3 linked regions of the Saccharomyces cerevisiae S288C genome follow. The protein of the gene in region 1 binds, or shares a complex with, the protein of each later gene. Each region holds a gene or a part of one and is shown in the gene's direction. Other genes may lie near its edges. The genes, in order: RIC1, RGP1 and YPT6.

What was found.
Region 2: the proteins of RIC1 (region 1) and RGP1 are in contact, whole or in part, in a cryo-EM structure (PDB 9AYR), measured with the Saccharomyces cerevisiae proteins. Residues at the interface, in NP_013140.1 of Saccharomyces cerevisiae: Val42 (codon at 2,176), Ser43 (codon at 2,179), Pro44 (codon at 2,182), Pro45 (codon at 2,185), Gln46 (codon at 2,188), Leu47 (codon at 2,191), Leu48 (codon at 2,194), Arg49 (codon at 2,197), Ile50 (codon at 2,200), Pro51 (codon at 2,203), Arg53 (codon at 2,209), Asn54 (codon at 2,212), Ala55 (codon at 2,215), Tyr91 (codon at 2,323), Met96 (codon at 2,338), Ala97 (codon at 2,341), Leu98 (codon at 2,344), Val99 (codon at 2,347), Ala100 (codon at 2,350), Ser101 (codon at 2,353), His102 (codon at 2,356), Glu103 (codon at 2,359), Arg104 (codon at 2,362), Thr105 (codon at 2,365), Ser108 (codon at 2,374), Phe112 (codon at 2,386), Thr204 (codon at 2,662), Leu205 (codon at 2,665), Thr206 (codon at 2,668), Val207 (codon at 2,671); in NP_010421.1 of Saccharomyces cerevisiae: Met1 (codon at 1,998), Arg2 (codon at 2,001), Ala3 (codon at 2,004), Arg5 (codon at 2,010), Ile6 (codon at 2,013), Asp7 (codon at 2,016), Lys16 (codon at 2,043), Leu41 (codon at 2,118), Phe127 (codon at 2,376), Ser505 (codon at 3,510), Asn516 (codon at 3,543), Val518 (codon at 3,549), Thr532 (codon at 3,591), Ser533 (codon at 3,594), Ser563 (codon at 3,684), Tyr565 (codon at 3,690), Glu566 (codon at 3,693), Lys567 (codon at 3,696), His568 (codon at 3,699), Phe569 (codon at 3,702), Ile570 (codon at 3,705), Cys571 (codon at 3,708), Phe572 (codon at 3,711), Asp573 (codon at 3,714), Glu574 (codon at 3,717), Cys575 (codon at 3,720), Lys576 (codon at 3,723), Ser577 (codon at 3,726), Val578 (codon at 3,729), Ser579 (codon at 3,732).
Region 3: the proteins of RIC1 (region 1) and YPT6 are in contact, whole or in part, in a cryo-EM structure (PDB 9AYR), measured with the Saccharomyces cerevisiae proteins. Residues at the interface, in NP_013140.1 of Saccharomyces cerevisiae: Asn520 (codon at 3,610), Glu795 (codon at 4,435), Leu797 (codon at 4,441), Ile815 (codon at 4,495), Lys822 (codon at 4,516), Val824 (codon at 4,522), Val825 (codon at 4,525), Lys826 (codon at 4,528), His827 (codon at 4,531), Gln828 (codon at 4,534), Ile829 (codon at 4,537), Asp832 (codon at 4,546), Lys856 (codon at 4,618), Pro857 (codon at 4,621), Phe860 (codon at 4,630), Ala861 (codon at 4,633), Glu863 (codon at 4,639), Lys864 (codon at 4,642), Ser867 (codon at 4,651), Leu871 (codon at 4,663), Asn909 (codon at 4,777), Cys910 (codon at 4,780), Arg912 (codon at 4,786), Lys913 (codon at 4,789), Ile914 (codon at 4,792), Glu915 (codon at 4,795), Gly947 (codon at 4,891), Val948 (codon at 4,894), Leu951 (codon at 4,903), Leu954 (codon at 4,912); in NP_013363.1 of Saccharomyces cerevisiae: Lys23 (codon at 1,943), Thr24 (codon at 1,946), Ser25 (codon at 1,949), Thr28 (codon at 1,958), Met31 (codon at 1,967), Tyr32 (codon at 1,970), Asp33 (codon at 1,973), Thr34 (codon at 1,976), Phe35 (codon at 1,979), Asp36 (codon at 1,982), Asp37 (codon at 1,985), Tyr39 (codon at 1,991), Ile43 (codon at 2,003), Gly44 (codon at 2,006), Ile45 (codon at 2,009), Asp46 (codon at 2,012), Phe47 (codon at 2,015), Leu48 (codon at 2,018), Tyr53 (codon at 2,033), Asp55 (codon at 2,039), Asp56 (codon at 2,042), Glu70 (codon at 2,084), Arg71 (codon at 2,087), Phe72 (codon at 2,090), Arg73 (codon at 2,093), Leu75 (codon at 2,099), Lys163 (codon at 2,363).

Annotation. Positions count from the first base shown.
Region 1 is NC_001144.5:224,868-230,648, reverse strand, and holds RIC1 (Ric1p), read left to right. Parts: upstream 1-2,052; coding exon 2,053-5,223; downstream 5,224-5,781. Other genes in the region: NFG1 (Nfg1p), read left to right, coding at 198-683; AFB1 (Afb1p), read left to right, coding at 1,067-1,741; COX12 (cytochrome c oxidase subunit VIb), read left to right, coding at 5,477-5,728.
Region 2 is NC_001136.10:726,262-730,877, forward strand, and holds RGP1 (Rgp1p), read left to right. Parts: upstream 1-1,997; coding exon 1,998-3,989; downstream 3,990-4,616. Other genes in the region: ATP-binding cassette glutathione S-conjugate transporter YCF1, read right to left, coding at 1-1,290; HPR1 (Hpr1p), read left to right, coding at 4,317-4,616. UniProt on the Saccharomyces cerevisiae protein: The RIC1-RGP1 complex acts as a guanine nucleotide exchange factor (GEF), which activates YPT6 by exchanging bound GDP for free GTP. It is thereby required for efficient fusion of endosome-derived vesicles with the Golgi.
Region 3 is NC_001144.5:667,603-670,767, reverse strand, and holds YPT6 (Rab family GTPase YPT6), read left to right. Parts: upstream 1-1,876; coding exon 1,877-2,524; downstream 2,525-3,165. Other genes in the region: RED1 (Red1p), read right to left, coding at 1-428; TMA7 (Tma7p), read left to right, coding at 1,106-1,300; VPS63 (Vps63p), read left to right, coding at 2,205-2,531; sphinganine kinase LCB5, read right to left, coding at 2,861-3,165. UniProt on the Saccharomyces cerevisiae protein: Protein transport. Might participate in post-Golgi transport.

The DNA of each region.
Region 1 (5,781 bases):
AATGCAAGAATGAAGTCTTTTCGTGGTGTTTTGAAAACACTATAAACAAACCGTCAACAAACATTTTGTATAAATATTTAGCTATATATTGAATATCTTGACCAGTAAAGCACCTTGAGAAATTGTAAGCTTGAAGAACGTACTTTGATATCCCTCCGTTTCATCATCCTATAGCTCGTCAACAAATCAAAAAAAATATGAAGATCAGTCAATTTGGCTCTTTAGCTTTCGCCCCAATTGTGCTACTACAACTGTTCATTGTTCAAGCGCAACTTCTCACAGATTCAAATGCTCAGGATTTGAATACTGCCCTTGGACAGAAAGTGCAATACACCTTTCTTGACACTGGAAATTCTAACGATCAACTACTTCATCTTCCAAGCACCACCTCTTCCAGCATTATTACTGGTTCATTAGCTGCTGCTAATTTCACCGGTTCTTCATCATCGTCGTCTATACCAAAAGTCACTTCCAGCGTCATAACATCTATAAATTACCAATCCTCAAATTCTACGGTAGTCACCCAGTTCACGCCATTGCCTTCTTCGTCGAGAAATGAAACAAAAAGCTCTCAAACAACTAATACTATAAGTTCAAGTACAAGCACAGGAGGTGTAGGTTCAGTCAAGCCATGTCTTTACTTCGTTTTAATGTTAGAAACAATCGCTTATTTGTTTTCTTAAACAAATATATTAGGTTCAAGGTCTTCGCAGGTGTAAGAAAACCCGTGGTCTCCATATTCTTAAGTATGATAAATAAAAAAAAACTTAATAAATTATTAATTGCTTCAAACCTTTTTCTTTTTTTAGTTTTTAATATTTCAAACGTTATCTTCATTGAACGCCCAAATAGGGAAAAATCCTGGCAAATTTTTTATTGCTGTCATCCAAGGCTATGCTAGAAAATTCAAGAGCTTGGATGATTTAAAAAGACACTCTCAATCGAGAAAGTTTATTCTTTGTTATTCTGCTTTACCTGATCATATTCCGGCGTATTGTTTCTAATCAAGTGATTTCGATATCCAGTTACGAACCATTTACAACATTCCTGAAAATATTGCGTATCAATGATATTTGCTCCTTCTTTCTCCCTCATTAAAAATATTCTCCTGGTAAGCTTTCTAATCAGCCACAGTTTTGCTGCCAAAACTTTAACGTCTAGTTCCAATGACGATACACTTGCCAGGTCCGCAGCTGCAGATGCAGACATGGCATTCTTCATGGAGTTTTTAAACGATTTCGACACCGCTTTTCCACAGTATACCTCATACATGATGCAAAACCATTTAACCCTACCTCAACCTGTTGCTGACTACTACTATCACATGGTTGATTTGGCCTCAACAGCAGATTTACAATCTGATATTGCTCAGAGTTTTCCGTTCACTCAATTCCAAACATTCATTACGGCCTTTCCATGGTATACCTCTTTGCTAAACAAAGCCTCCGCCACCACCATATACCTTCCCCAACACTTCATAACAGGTGAGACAGAAGCTACCATGACTAACTCATCTTATGCCAGCCAAAAAAACTCCGTTTCCAATTCTGTTCCTTTCTCGACAGCGAACGCAGGCCAGTCCATGATTTCCATGGCTAATGAAGAAAACAGTACAACAGCACTTATATCCGCATCAAACTCTTCTTCAACATCCAGAACTAGTCAATCACAGAATGGTGCCCATGCCAAAAGCTTATATTTCCCCATGGCGTTGTTCGGAATCTTTGCAGTTGCCCTTTAAGTGCCTCAACCAAATTTGACAATTTAATTCCATGGGAGGTCCGCCATCCCTTTTCGCTTTTTTTATAATATGTGTATTATTTATACAAATATGTATATAAGTATGTACTTTTTCAATGGACAATTCGATTTTAAGAGCGTTTTTAGTGACAACGATGAACATCAACTTTGTACAGTATCAAACGATTTATTTTTAACATATTATTATAACTTCTGAATGGCGTTGCCATCTTGGCCAAAATCTTGTCTTTTCTGTCGTTTTATGGCAGGCTTTTGTTCTTTGATGTTAATTCGGCAATACCGACGCCTTTGATGTTCATCAAACAGTCTGAAAAAAATACACCTAAATGCCTCTACAAAAAAAAAGGTAAGGTAAGAGTGTTATTGACCGGAAGCTGTAAGAAACTGAACACGTGGAAAATGCACTTATGGCCAGTCAGTCCGCCCCAATTGCTTAGAATTCCACCCCGCAACGCCGAATTAGGTGAGGGTACTAAAATAGATGATTGCAATATTCTTCAATCAATGACACTACCCCAGGCCAATGTTCTTATCATGCTAACCCCAACAAGAGTGCTCATTTACAACTTCAAACCAATGGCACTAGTAGCTAGCCATGAACGAACAATGGCTTCTCTTAAGGAATTTGGCGATAACAGATCAATGAAACGATCAGCTCCATATAATGATATCATCGAAGGGCTTATTTCAAAAAAGGACTCGCAATACTTATTGTGGCACCAGGGAAAGCTGATATTTTACGTAATGACTGATAAAAACTTCCTTTTAACATACCAAATTTTAAAAAACTGCACAAATGAAATAATTTTCAAAGAATACGGCATACCCGTCATAGAGCCTCTTTTAATGAGTGAAGAAGAAGCGAACAGTGCTGAATATGACTATAACAACGATGATGATACTCTCACGGTATTTGATAAAAATAGTTCTTCAAGAATTATACAGAATGGATTTGGCATAACTAAGGAAAAAGGGTTTTTACACTTTCTTTCTAATCAAGAAAACATTGATGAACTCCCCGTGAAAAAACTAGAACTTCGTTTAAAAGTAGTTCTTAAATTTGACTATGAAATCATAGACATGATTGGCATCAAGACATTTTCCAAAGTCGGGGATGGGCGTTATGAAGAAGTTTTGATAGTTTTATTCCCTCATGGATTACAAATACTTACAATATCGGATTTTAAAGTTAGCAAGAGCTCGTTGGTTGAAGTGAAGAAGGGATCCAAGACAATTGTGTGTAATAAACAATTAATGGTTTTATCTCATGATTCCGTCGAAAAGCAGACTATTGTAAGCATTATAGACATTGAAAAGCAAGCTGTTGAAGCAATACCGTTAACGGACACACCAGATGAACTTTTGACTTGCCTAGAAGTTAATGGATACCTGGTGGTCGTTTACAAAGAAAAAATAATCTGCTTTGATACAAGAATTAAAAAAGTAAGCCATTCTTGGAAACCACCATTTGTGATAAAACTTTGCGATAAAATTAATGATAAAATATTACTTTTGGTTTCTGAGGATAGTGTTAACATTCATTTTTACACAGAATTTGGGAATCTGCTATTCGCTACATATTTTGACGAAGATGATTATAATGGTGATAACAATAATGACAACAGCAAGGATAAAAATGAGAAAAAGGCGGCTGAATATAAAATTTCTGATTTTGTATGCTTGGATAAATCACTAATAACAGTGTCTCATTCCGGAAAATATCAAGTTTGGAAATTATGGGAAGAAATAAAACAAACACAATTTGATTTCAGAAACCCAAAATGTTACGTATTAACCAATACGAACAATGATGTAATCATATATTCACCTGTGACAAGTTCTTCAATCAATAATGATAATTTACAAGTCATAAAACTTCCTACAAAGACTTTCAATAATCATATTGCTTTTGTAAAAATTAATTCTTCCTTGAGGTTATTTGCTACTTATGTGTCGAACAAAAACATACTGCTTATCCACAATCTAGAGACCAATATGTGGTCTAGTTTTGCTGACCAAAACGTGTTGGATTTACATTGGCTAGGTGATAATTATTTGGTTTGTCATATGAAGAATGATGATGGCTCAACAAATCTGAAATGTCTGCAGATTCCACTGCAAGAAGCGAATCCGGACGTGGAACTATCAGATTATGTCATGTGGGAATACAATGTTCCAGAGAATACGATTGTTTTCAGTTTACATGTTAATACTTTATCCCGGTATAAGTTGTTGAAAATGAAATCCAAGAATCACAATGCTTCTGAAAAACAACCTGATGCATTGCTTAAAACTGCCGAGATTATTTTAGTTACTGATACACAGACAATTGTCTTCGATGTAATTTCTACTGTACATCCATGTGGATTAAACATCATCAAAAAATTCTACCAGTATCTCAAAATTAACATTCCAATTGATGTTTTACCCAACAAAATTGAGTGGATAATTAACATGAAGGAGGGCTTGTTATTTTTTGCCGATAGGAAATTTATAAAGCTTGGCAAAGTGGATGGAGGGGGCTGGCAAACCTTAACTTTGTTGGATAACATAGAAAAAATAATCGATGTTATCAGGGACGAAATATTTGTAGTTCAAGGCCATAATTACGTCGTATACTCTTTGGAAGATTTATGGGATGATAAAAAGCCACTAGTTTCCATTCCAATCGAAGAAGATTTGTATCCAATATCAACCACCCCAGAAACAGCTACAACACATACACTTCACTGCATTTTTAACGCGCGATTTTCCAAATTGGTGGTGAAACACCAAATATACCTCGACCAATTAATCTTAGCCAAATTAGAAGACAACACAGATTTGGAGGATATTTCACACAATTATCGTTTTTTAAAGCCTTACAAATTTGCACTCGAAAAGATTTTGTCTACTAAAATACTGCGAAGCGACTCTTTGGATGATATCCTGAAATTAATTAAGATGTATGACAACACCGATCCTGAGCATAATATTTCACCACCAACCCACAGTGGTATGTTAGAAATTATTAGTAATTGTTTAAGGAAGATCGAAACTAAATACTGGAACCATCTATTCACTAATCTAAAGATGACACCAAGAGATTTATTAGCACTCTGTATCGAAGAAAATGAGGCTAAAATGCTTGGCGTACTTCTGTTAGTGTTTTTAAATTACGATGAGAAAGATTTGGGAGATGATCTACATTTTAAGAAATCAGATTTAGGGACTGAGGAAAGCAAAGCTCTAAATGATAACTCTACAAAAAAGTCAGAGAAATCTGTCACTAATTTATTGAAGGATGAAGAATTAATGCTTAAAGTCTTAGAGCTTTTGGTGACAAGTGCTGCAAACGCCACAGACCCAATTAAAGCTACCGATTCGTGGGACATGTGTTTCCAATTAATACGCTTACTCAAGGAATTAGACAGAGAAAACAACACACAATTGGTTCAAAAAGCACTCGAGAGATTCAAATAAATCTATATGACACCATGTATTCTTTACCATATAGCTTCATAACATTGACCAATCAATTTTCAGAAATGCGTCGCGCGTAGTTTTGCCCGATATCCCCATCCCTTCAGGATCTTTAAAAGGTGATGAAAGATGCACCAGATAGAAAAGTTGCATTAAAATGATTAGCAGAGATATACAAATATTTTAGTAAGAATACATAAAGTATCTTTGCTTTCACAAATAGGAACAAGCACATAAATACAGTATAATAGACATGGCTGATCAAGAAAACTCTCCACTACATACAGTTGGTTTCGATGCTAGATTTCCCCAACAAAACCAAACAAAGCATTGTTGGCAATCTTATGTGGATTATCACAAGTGTGTTAATATGAAGGGCGAAGATTTTGCTCCGTGCAAGGTCTTTTGGAAGACCTATAACGCCTTATGTCCCCTAGACTGGATCGAAAAATGGGATGATCAAAGAGAAAAAGGTATTTTCGCAGGTGATATCAACTCAGACTAAGGATCTTAGTTTCGTTTTTAGTAATGTGCACTTAGCCTTTTTTATATCATTAT
Region 2 (4,616 bases), on another chromosome or scaffold:
AGGCCCTGACCATATTAAATTTAGCCATTGTGTTAAATCTTGTAATTTTTGAACATCCACACTCATGAGATTGACAATGTCACCGGTAGAGGAAAGTCCAGAAGCCTCATTAGATAGCACTAAGGATTTTTGATATATTAAAGCCGTTAGGGCGCTCTTAATATACATGCCTGTGTTGAAGACATTCAGGAAATATTGATGCAGGACAGATGTCTGAGTAAAGCCCACCAGAAACATAGCAAACGCAATCAAAAACCCTCTTACAATGGGTAATTTTTGTGGGTGGTTATTTTCAAACCCTTGAAGAGAAGAATGGTCATCCTGTCTCTCACTGTTATAGTCTGTGACGAACTTGATTAAAATCCTTAGTAGTTGTGGTTGAGTAAATGCTAGAACATCATGAATTGCTTTAAAGAATGCGGCTAAAAGCATTTTAGATCCAAAAGTTCTGCATATAGCCCATGATAATGAAGGATTTGATTTTTGCTTCAACTCATTTTCCCAGTTTTTCTCCAATTTTTGAGAGAGTTCTTCACTACTAAAGTTCCTCGGTAATTTATATAAATCTGCTTCCACTAAGTATTTTTCATAGCCAGTTTTCATCAAACCTGACATCCAAGAGAAGGTAATCCTGGAAAATATGTTTGCGCTATCGTATGGATTTGGTTTTCTTCTTGTTAAAGTTTGATGTATGTGTTGATGTGGCATTAGCGGCTTCTTTGGAAGAGCTTCAAGTAACAGGATACTGGCACATGTTATTACTTGGAATAACGTTAGTATGAAACCCGTTTGTCCGGAATACCAAATGCCTTCGTAGGTGTGTCTAATTAGAATATTTATTAGTTTAGCAAAATTACCGAATGTTTCAAAAAGCCAATAGAATAAAAGTACCGTATTGGCTACAACTGATCTATCGTATTCTATCCAGTGTAAGGCTAAAGCAACAAATAAAGATAACATTGTAGAAGCATATTGACTTACAATGGTAAAGTTTTCCGCTTCTTCTTTAGAAATATTTAAAGACGCAAGTGAAACAAACGCTATCTCCAACAGAACTAGTGCCATCCTAGAGACAATAATCCAATTCCGCCTATATTTGATGCCAGAGTGTTTTTTCTTGCAAAGGTTAACTAAATCTCTGATACCGAAGGTTATCATGAAAATTGCTGATAGATTTAGGATCACACCGTCGATGAAGCATTGAGTAAAGTCACCGTAAAAGGATATAGGTCCAAACCCTTCAGGAGATCTACAGAGCTTGCAGGCCCATGAAACAAGATTACCAGCCATTTTCTTGTTCTTTACGGTAGTACGATACCCCTAATTTATTCTCAAACTGTTAATTGAAAAATTGTAGGTTGTAAACCAGCTTCCACATAGCAGATGATCACAAGAGGTTATCGCACCTTTTATAGCAGCTGCTAACTTTTTTCATCAATTTCGTAATTACTAAGCCGTAACCTTCCACCGCCCAAGCATCACACCAGGAGTTACATATTTTTGTATTATCATAAAGAAACACACGCCAAGATATCTACAGAAACCAGATGTTAGCATTAGATATATATATTCGTATTGATGCAGCATAACAAGCGTACTATGGATTGCAAAGTAATGTAGATTCCTGACCAGTAGATCTGCTCGCGCAAGAGAAACATTCATGAACTCTAACGACAATAACAGTAAATCCACCTCACGGAGAACGATAAAAGTCTTCATTTCTCCATGAGGTGGAAACGTTGTTTGAATATTAAACATAATACTTGAACTTCTTGTGTAATTTTTATTTTTTAATCGAAGTCTACTCCGAAGTCTCCTATAAAGCGTAAGGCGCGTCTCCAAAGTGCTATTTTTCAAGATCAATTCAGCTTCAAAGAAGCTTTGATACCTACGGGGCAATGCAAAGGCTGCCAGTCGAAACAAACAGCGAAAGCTAGCCCATAATTTCTTGAGCTGTTGATTTTGATTGTGATATTTTTCATACTTTAGAAGAAGATATGCGTGCGCACAGAATCGATACATTTCTCATAAGAGAAAACATCAAACTGGAGATCATACATGAATCGAATTCCTATTTTGGTGGAGAACATATATCAATTGCTTTCCGATTTAAGCACCTAGGCTCACAGCATGAATTGTTCAACTATAAAGAAAAGCTTCTCACTGTCGATAAAGCTGTTGAAGAGAAGTTGGAACAACAAGCGAAAGTGCAAGATGATGGTGAAGGCACGATGGAAAATCAAACCTGGTCCCTAAAATCATTACTAGGTGCCTTCAAAAGAACAGGCGAACCTGAAGAGAGTGTGGATGTGGATAACATGAAAATGCTAAATGAGAGTAAGATGTTAAGAGAAAAAATACAGAAGCAAATGTATTTTCATCAACCTGTAACGTTAATATCCGGTTATGTTCAAATATCGGGGGTCTTTCAATACGATTCAGAGGTAATTTCAGAGTCAAAATTTAAACAAGATGAAGTAAAAATGGTAGGACTAGATATTGTACCTGGACATACGACAAATTCTGTTCTTGCATTGGAAGATGGAGAACATTTCAAAGGTAAAAGAAATTTAACCAACTACCTCAACTCAGATTATACAAATGTGACCAATGGTCTTCTTTTCTCAGAAAGCGGTTCTAGGGGAAGAACAGGTACCTATAACGAACGGACCTTAATGATATCAAACGATACCAGTATAAAAACATTACCTCTTCTTTTAATACCACAGACGCTTTTATTTTCTGAAATTTCTTTAGAACCAGGTGAAGTAAGAACATTCTATTTTAAATCCACAAAGCTGCCAAAAGATATATGCCCAAGTTATTCATCGTCAAAAGTGGCATCAATAAATTACACGCTGGAGGTTGGTGCGGATGTACTTTCTGATGATAATATCGAGAAATTTTCAAATAGAGTCCCAATAACAATAGCACCATATATTAGTTCGAATGCCGAACAGTACACATCACGTCTGGATAAGCCTGCTATCATATTAAAGACAGGTAACATAAAGGAACTAAAGCCACGTTTGTTTACTCGAAAAGTTTCTACGGCTTCTGCTGTATCATTTGGTAGGAGAAAATCTTCTATAATTGACATTGATTCTCCATTAGAAGATAATGAATTTGTCAAGCGTGTCAAAAAAAACTTCATTGAACTGGTGGAATCTAACCAAAATGTGTCAAGAGATATAGACGAACTTATTGACTTGCAAATGGGGGTACAGTTCGGAAAGGATGAGGATTCTTCGGATCCTGAACCCAACGACTCACACTTTTCGAACGAAATGGTGACGTCTGCAGAGTCTAGCCTGAGAAGCGATGCTGTAACTAAGAGGAGAAAAAGTTATTCGGTACGCGATAACATTTCTAACCTCGAGCAAAAGATGTGGAACGATTGTTCTCTCGTTAAGTCAGATGAGAATTCTAATCTTCTACCTCAGCTAATTAATTTACAGAACGCATATCAAATTAACAGAAATAATGAGACTATGGCAAAAGTATCCTTATCAGCACCTTTTTATAAGACAACTGATGATATAAATTTAGTCATTGAATTAGATCCGATAACGACGCCTTTACTTAAAGTGACTTCGTTGACTGTATCCTTAGAATCGTTTGAAATTATAAATCCAAAATATAAGACTGAAGGAAAAGGAATAGGGAGCAAACCAAAAGGAAACTCGGTGTATGAGAAACATTTTATTTGTTTCGATGAGTGCAAGTCCGTATCGGTGAAATTACTTCCTCCAAGATCGCCTACAAACCAGATTACCGGACAATTCAAGACAGATGTTTTTCAACATAAGTGGATGATAGGACTAAAATTTGTAATAATTGCAAAGACAGAAAGTATCACTTTGGATCAATTTTATGAGGATAAAAAGGGCATCCTATTCCATTCAAAAGAGAATTTAGAAGGTGAAGAGTTTACATGTTACGTTCCCATTCCAATACTGTGTACATCCGAAGATTTCATGGGATGGTAAGCAATAAATGGGTGCAGTTTACTCGTATAATTGGTTTTGCATTTGAATCCAATCCAGTAAAGAGGATTTACTATACTCTCTTCATAAAGGGTATGTACAGATACATTTATAAGTTAGTTAACCGGCTTTATTGTCGTAATAGTCATCTCTTGATGTCATGGGTTGCTGTCCGTGCGATTTCAAGACTGCTCATTTCGCACGATGCATATTGCTTCTCTAATGACATTTTTCGTTAGAATGATCAGGTTTTTGCCATAGCTTGATCAGTAAATTAATAGATGATTTTAACAATTCAAGAGGCATTAAAACTTGGGCAAAGGAGTAATAATGTCTAATACCGAGGAATTGATCCAAAACTCAATAGGTTTTCTCCAGAAAACTTTTAAAGCACTCCCAGTTTCGTTTGACTCCATTCGACATGAACCACTTCCATCTTCAATGTTGCATGCAAGTGTTCTCAATTTTGAATGGGAACCGCTCGAAAAAAATATTTCGGCAATTCATGATAGAGATTCTTTGATTGACATTATACTTAAAAGATTCATTATAGATTCAATGACAAATGCTATTGAAGACGAAGAAGAAAATAATCTTGAAAAAGGGTTACTAAATTCGTGTATAGGTCTC
Region 3 (3,165 bases), 440 kb from region 1:
TCGATCAGGTTAGTTATAATCTTTTTGGATTGAGGGACACTGCTGAGGATGCTGCTAATAACGGCCAAGCATTTCCAACTGACTGGATTTTCCATTGCGATGCCAGTCTCAAGTAAATAATTTAAAACTTTGGAGTCTTCGTCTATATTAATCTCAGAAGAAAATCTTAATTTTAAAATGAAATGCCAGATATCATCACTTGGAAGATTTGAATCGGTGATTTTAACGGCAACATTTATGATGTGAAATAACAACTCAAAATTTTGAATTACTTCTCTCTTTATTACTAGCAAATGGAGAAATTCCTGCAGTTGTTTAGAAGTTTCCAAAGTCATTAACCCATAGTGGATTCCTTTCGTTTCATTCCTAGTCTGTGCTAAGTCATTTTTCAGGCAAACACCAAAAATCTTTTTCTTCAAACCTTCCATTCTTATCACCGTATTTGCTGTCCCTTTGTGGTCCTCACTGATTAAAAAATCTTTGTTCTATTTTTCTTATTACCTTTAATGCTTCACGAATGATGTGAATGTTTTGCGAATGATGTGATTGAATCCATCTGATCCTGCTGCGAAATCGTAGTTTATTTAGCCGCTGAACCCTTTGAGCAAGTATTTATCGTTTTTAACGTTGAAAAAGTAGTCATATTCAAATTATATAAACCAGCCAATAATACGTTACTTTGCCTTTTTAGATCACACAATTAAGCGGATACAAGATCACCCATCATAAAGGGTTGGCAAACGCCATTGTTTTTGTCGAACCTTACCTGATATCTCCAGAAATCCAATGTATATCTTCTGTATGAAAATATGAATTGTGAGTGCACATGCCTTTTCTAACAGGGAAACCTGTTGTGATTTGTCATTGAATGTGATGAAAAGCTCCTCCAGTCGCCTCGGCTTGGCTTGGCTTGTCTTGGCTTTTTTGGTTTATTCTTTCTGTCCTGAGATAAAAATTGTAGTAAATCTATACTTCTGGAAGTTTCCCGCGACGAAAATGAACGAGGAAAATAAAAAATTTCATGTTTAAAATCCTGTAATTGATTGCTCTTCCACGCACAGTAAGTTGCAAAACCAGAAGAATAACTGAAAAACCCTAAGCAATCATGTCTAGTCGCCAAGGTGGTAAGATGAAGCCTCTAAAGCAAAAGAAGAAGCAACAACAGGACTTAGATCCTGAAGACATTGCCTTCAAAGAGAAGCAAAAGGCCGATGCTGCTGCTAAGAAAGCTTTGATGGCTAATATGAAAAGTGGTAAACCTTTAGTGGGTGGTGGTATCAAAAAATCTGGTAAGAAATAAAAGGCCTTTAACAACGTCTAATAAAAATTTACTCAGTATTTTCTAGTTCTCGTTTTTTAAGTAAATACATATATTACCAAAGAAAAGCTATTTGCAAGATATATCGTTCTTTCCGATGTTTTACAATCGTAATTACTATGTATAATGGTTACATCTAGCAAATTTGGAGGTTTCCTAAATAAAGCCCCTTGCGTGTCTCTCTAGAGGTACGAAAACAACTGATATATAATGGACCCTTTTCTATTGTGGTGACAGGCATAAGGATAAATATTTATAGATGGCTAAGGAAAATAAGAAAAATACTTCTCCCTATTCATGAACCGGGCATCTTGAGTAGAATAGGGTGCTTCTATTCGTTAGTGCTGGTATTAACTTCTAGTGAAAAATGGCCGAATAATTTCCGGGTAATAAAGCCTTCAGCACAGCTCAATTAGTGGAGGAAAATATTGCCCATATATAGATTGTTACTATGTATGATGTAAGAATATCACAATTGGGCACTTAAGGTTGTGTGAAAAGAAGTGTTTGAAGCTGTTGATTCTGAACAGTAAAAGATAAACAAAGAAGAGATTAACAATGAGCAGATCCGGGAAATCATTGACAAAGTACAAAATTGTTTTTTTGGGAGAACAGGGTGTTGGAAAAACATCGCTGATCACTAGATTTATGTATGATACGTTCGATGATCATTACCAAGCCACGATTGGTATAGATTTTCTTTCCAAGACCATGTATTTGGATGATAAGACAATTAGATTACAGTTATGGGATACAGCAGGTCAGGAAAGATTTAGATCATTAATACCTTCATATATCAGAGATTCGAGAGTTGCTATTATCGTTTACGACATTACGAAGAGAAAATCATTTGAATATATTGATAAATGGATAGAAGACGTTAAAAATGAAAGAGGTGACGAAAATGTTATATTGTGCATTGTTGGTAACAAAAGTGATTTATCAGATGAAAGGCAAATCTCAACCGAAGAGGGAGAGAAAAAAGCAAAACTATTGGGTGCTAAAATCTTTATGGAAACGTCCACAAAGGCAGGCTATAATGTCAAAGCTTTATTCAAAAAGATTGCCAAATCGCTGCCTGAATTTCAAAACAGCGAGTCAACTCCTTTGGATAGCGAAAATGCAAATAGTGCAAACCAAAATAAACCGGGAGTCATTGATATTTCTACAGCAGAGGAGCAGGAACAAAGCGCTTGTCAGTGTTAGCACCTAATATTTCAGTTCTATAGGGCATAAGGAGAACTCTTTGTGTGCGTCATATTTTTTAGTGAACTACCAGCACATAATAATTGTACTGATAATATTAATAATAATCATAATCATAATGTACTTGACGATCTGATGTGTAGGAGCTAGTACTCACTAAACATGGTTGTATTAAAGAATGGTATTAAAACTTTTTATAAAGAAGTATGGAGTGTATAAAGTTATCAAACAACAACAAAAACAACAACAACGTAAAAAAAATATAGAAGAAATAGAAATGACATATTCTAGTTTTTGATTAATTGTTCAGTACGAAGGAAAAGATTAAGTAAAGTGTCACATAGAATCGAAATCTGTGTCCACATAACGGCCATTTCTCAGTAACGTCTTGCATAAGCGTGGCATAATTTCGACTTGAAGGGGCTCTAGAGGAAATTTCTCGCCATCGACAGAGAACAAGCCGTTCCCTAGCTTTGGTATTATCTTGTATGCCAAAATTTTAGAGTGTAAGACTTCCGGTTGTAAAACATGGGAACCCTTATCTAGTCCCAGCAGGATTGGTGCCATCCTCGTCAACGAGGTTCTTGCATCGGTGATAACCATATCCATTGTACCATCTGAAGGAAGCGCTGCCGGAAAGA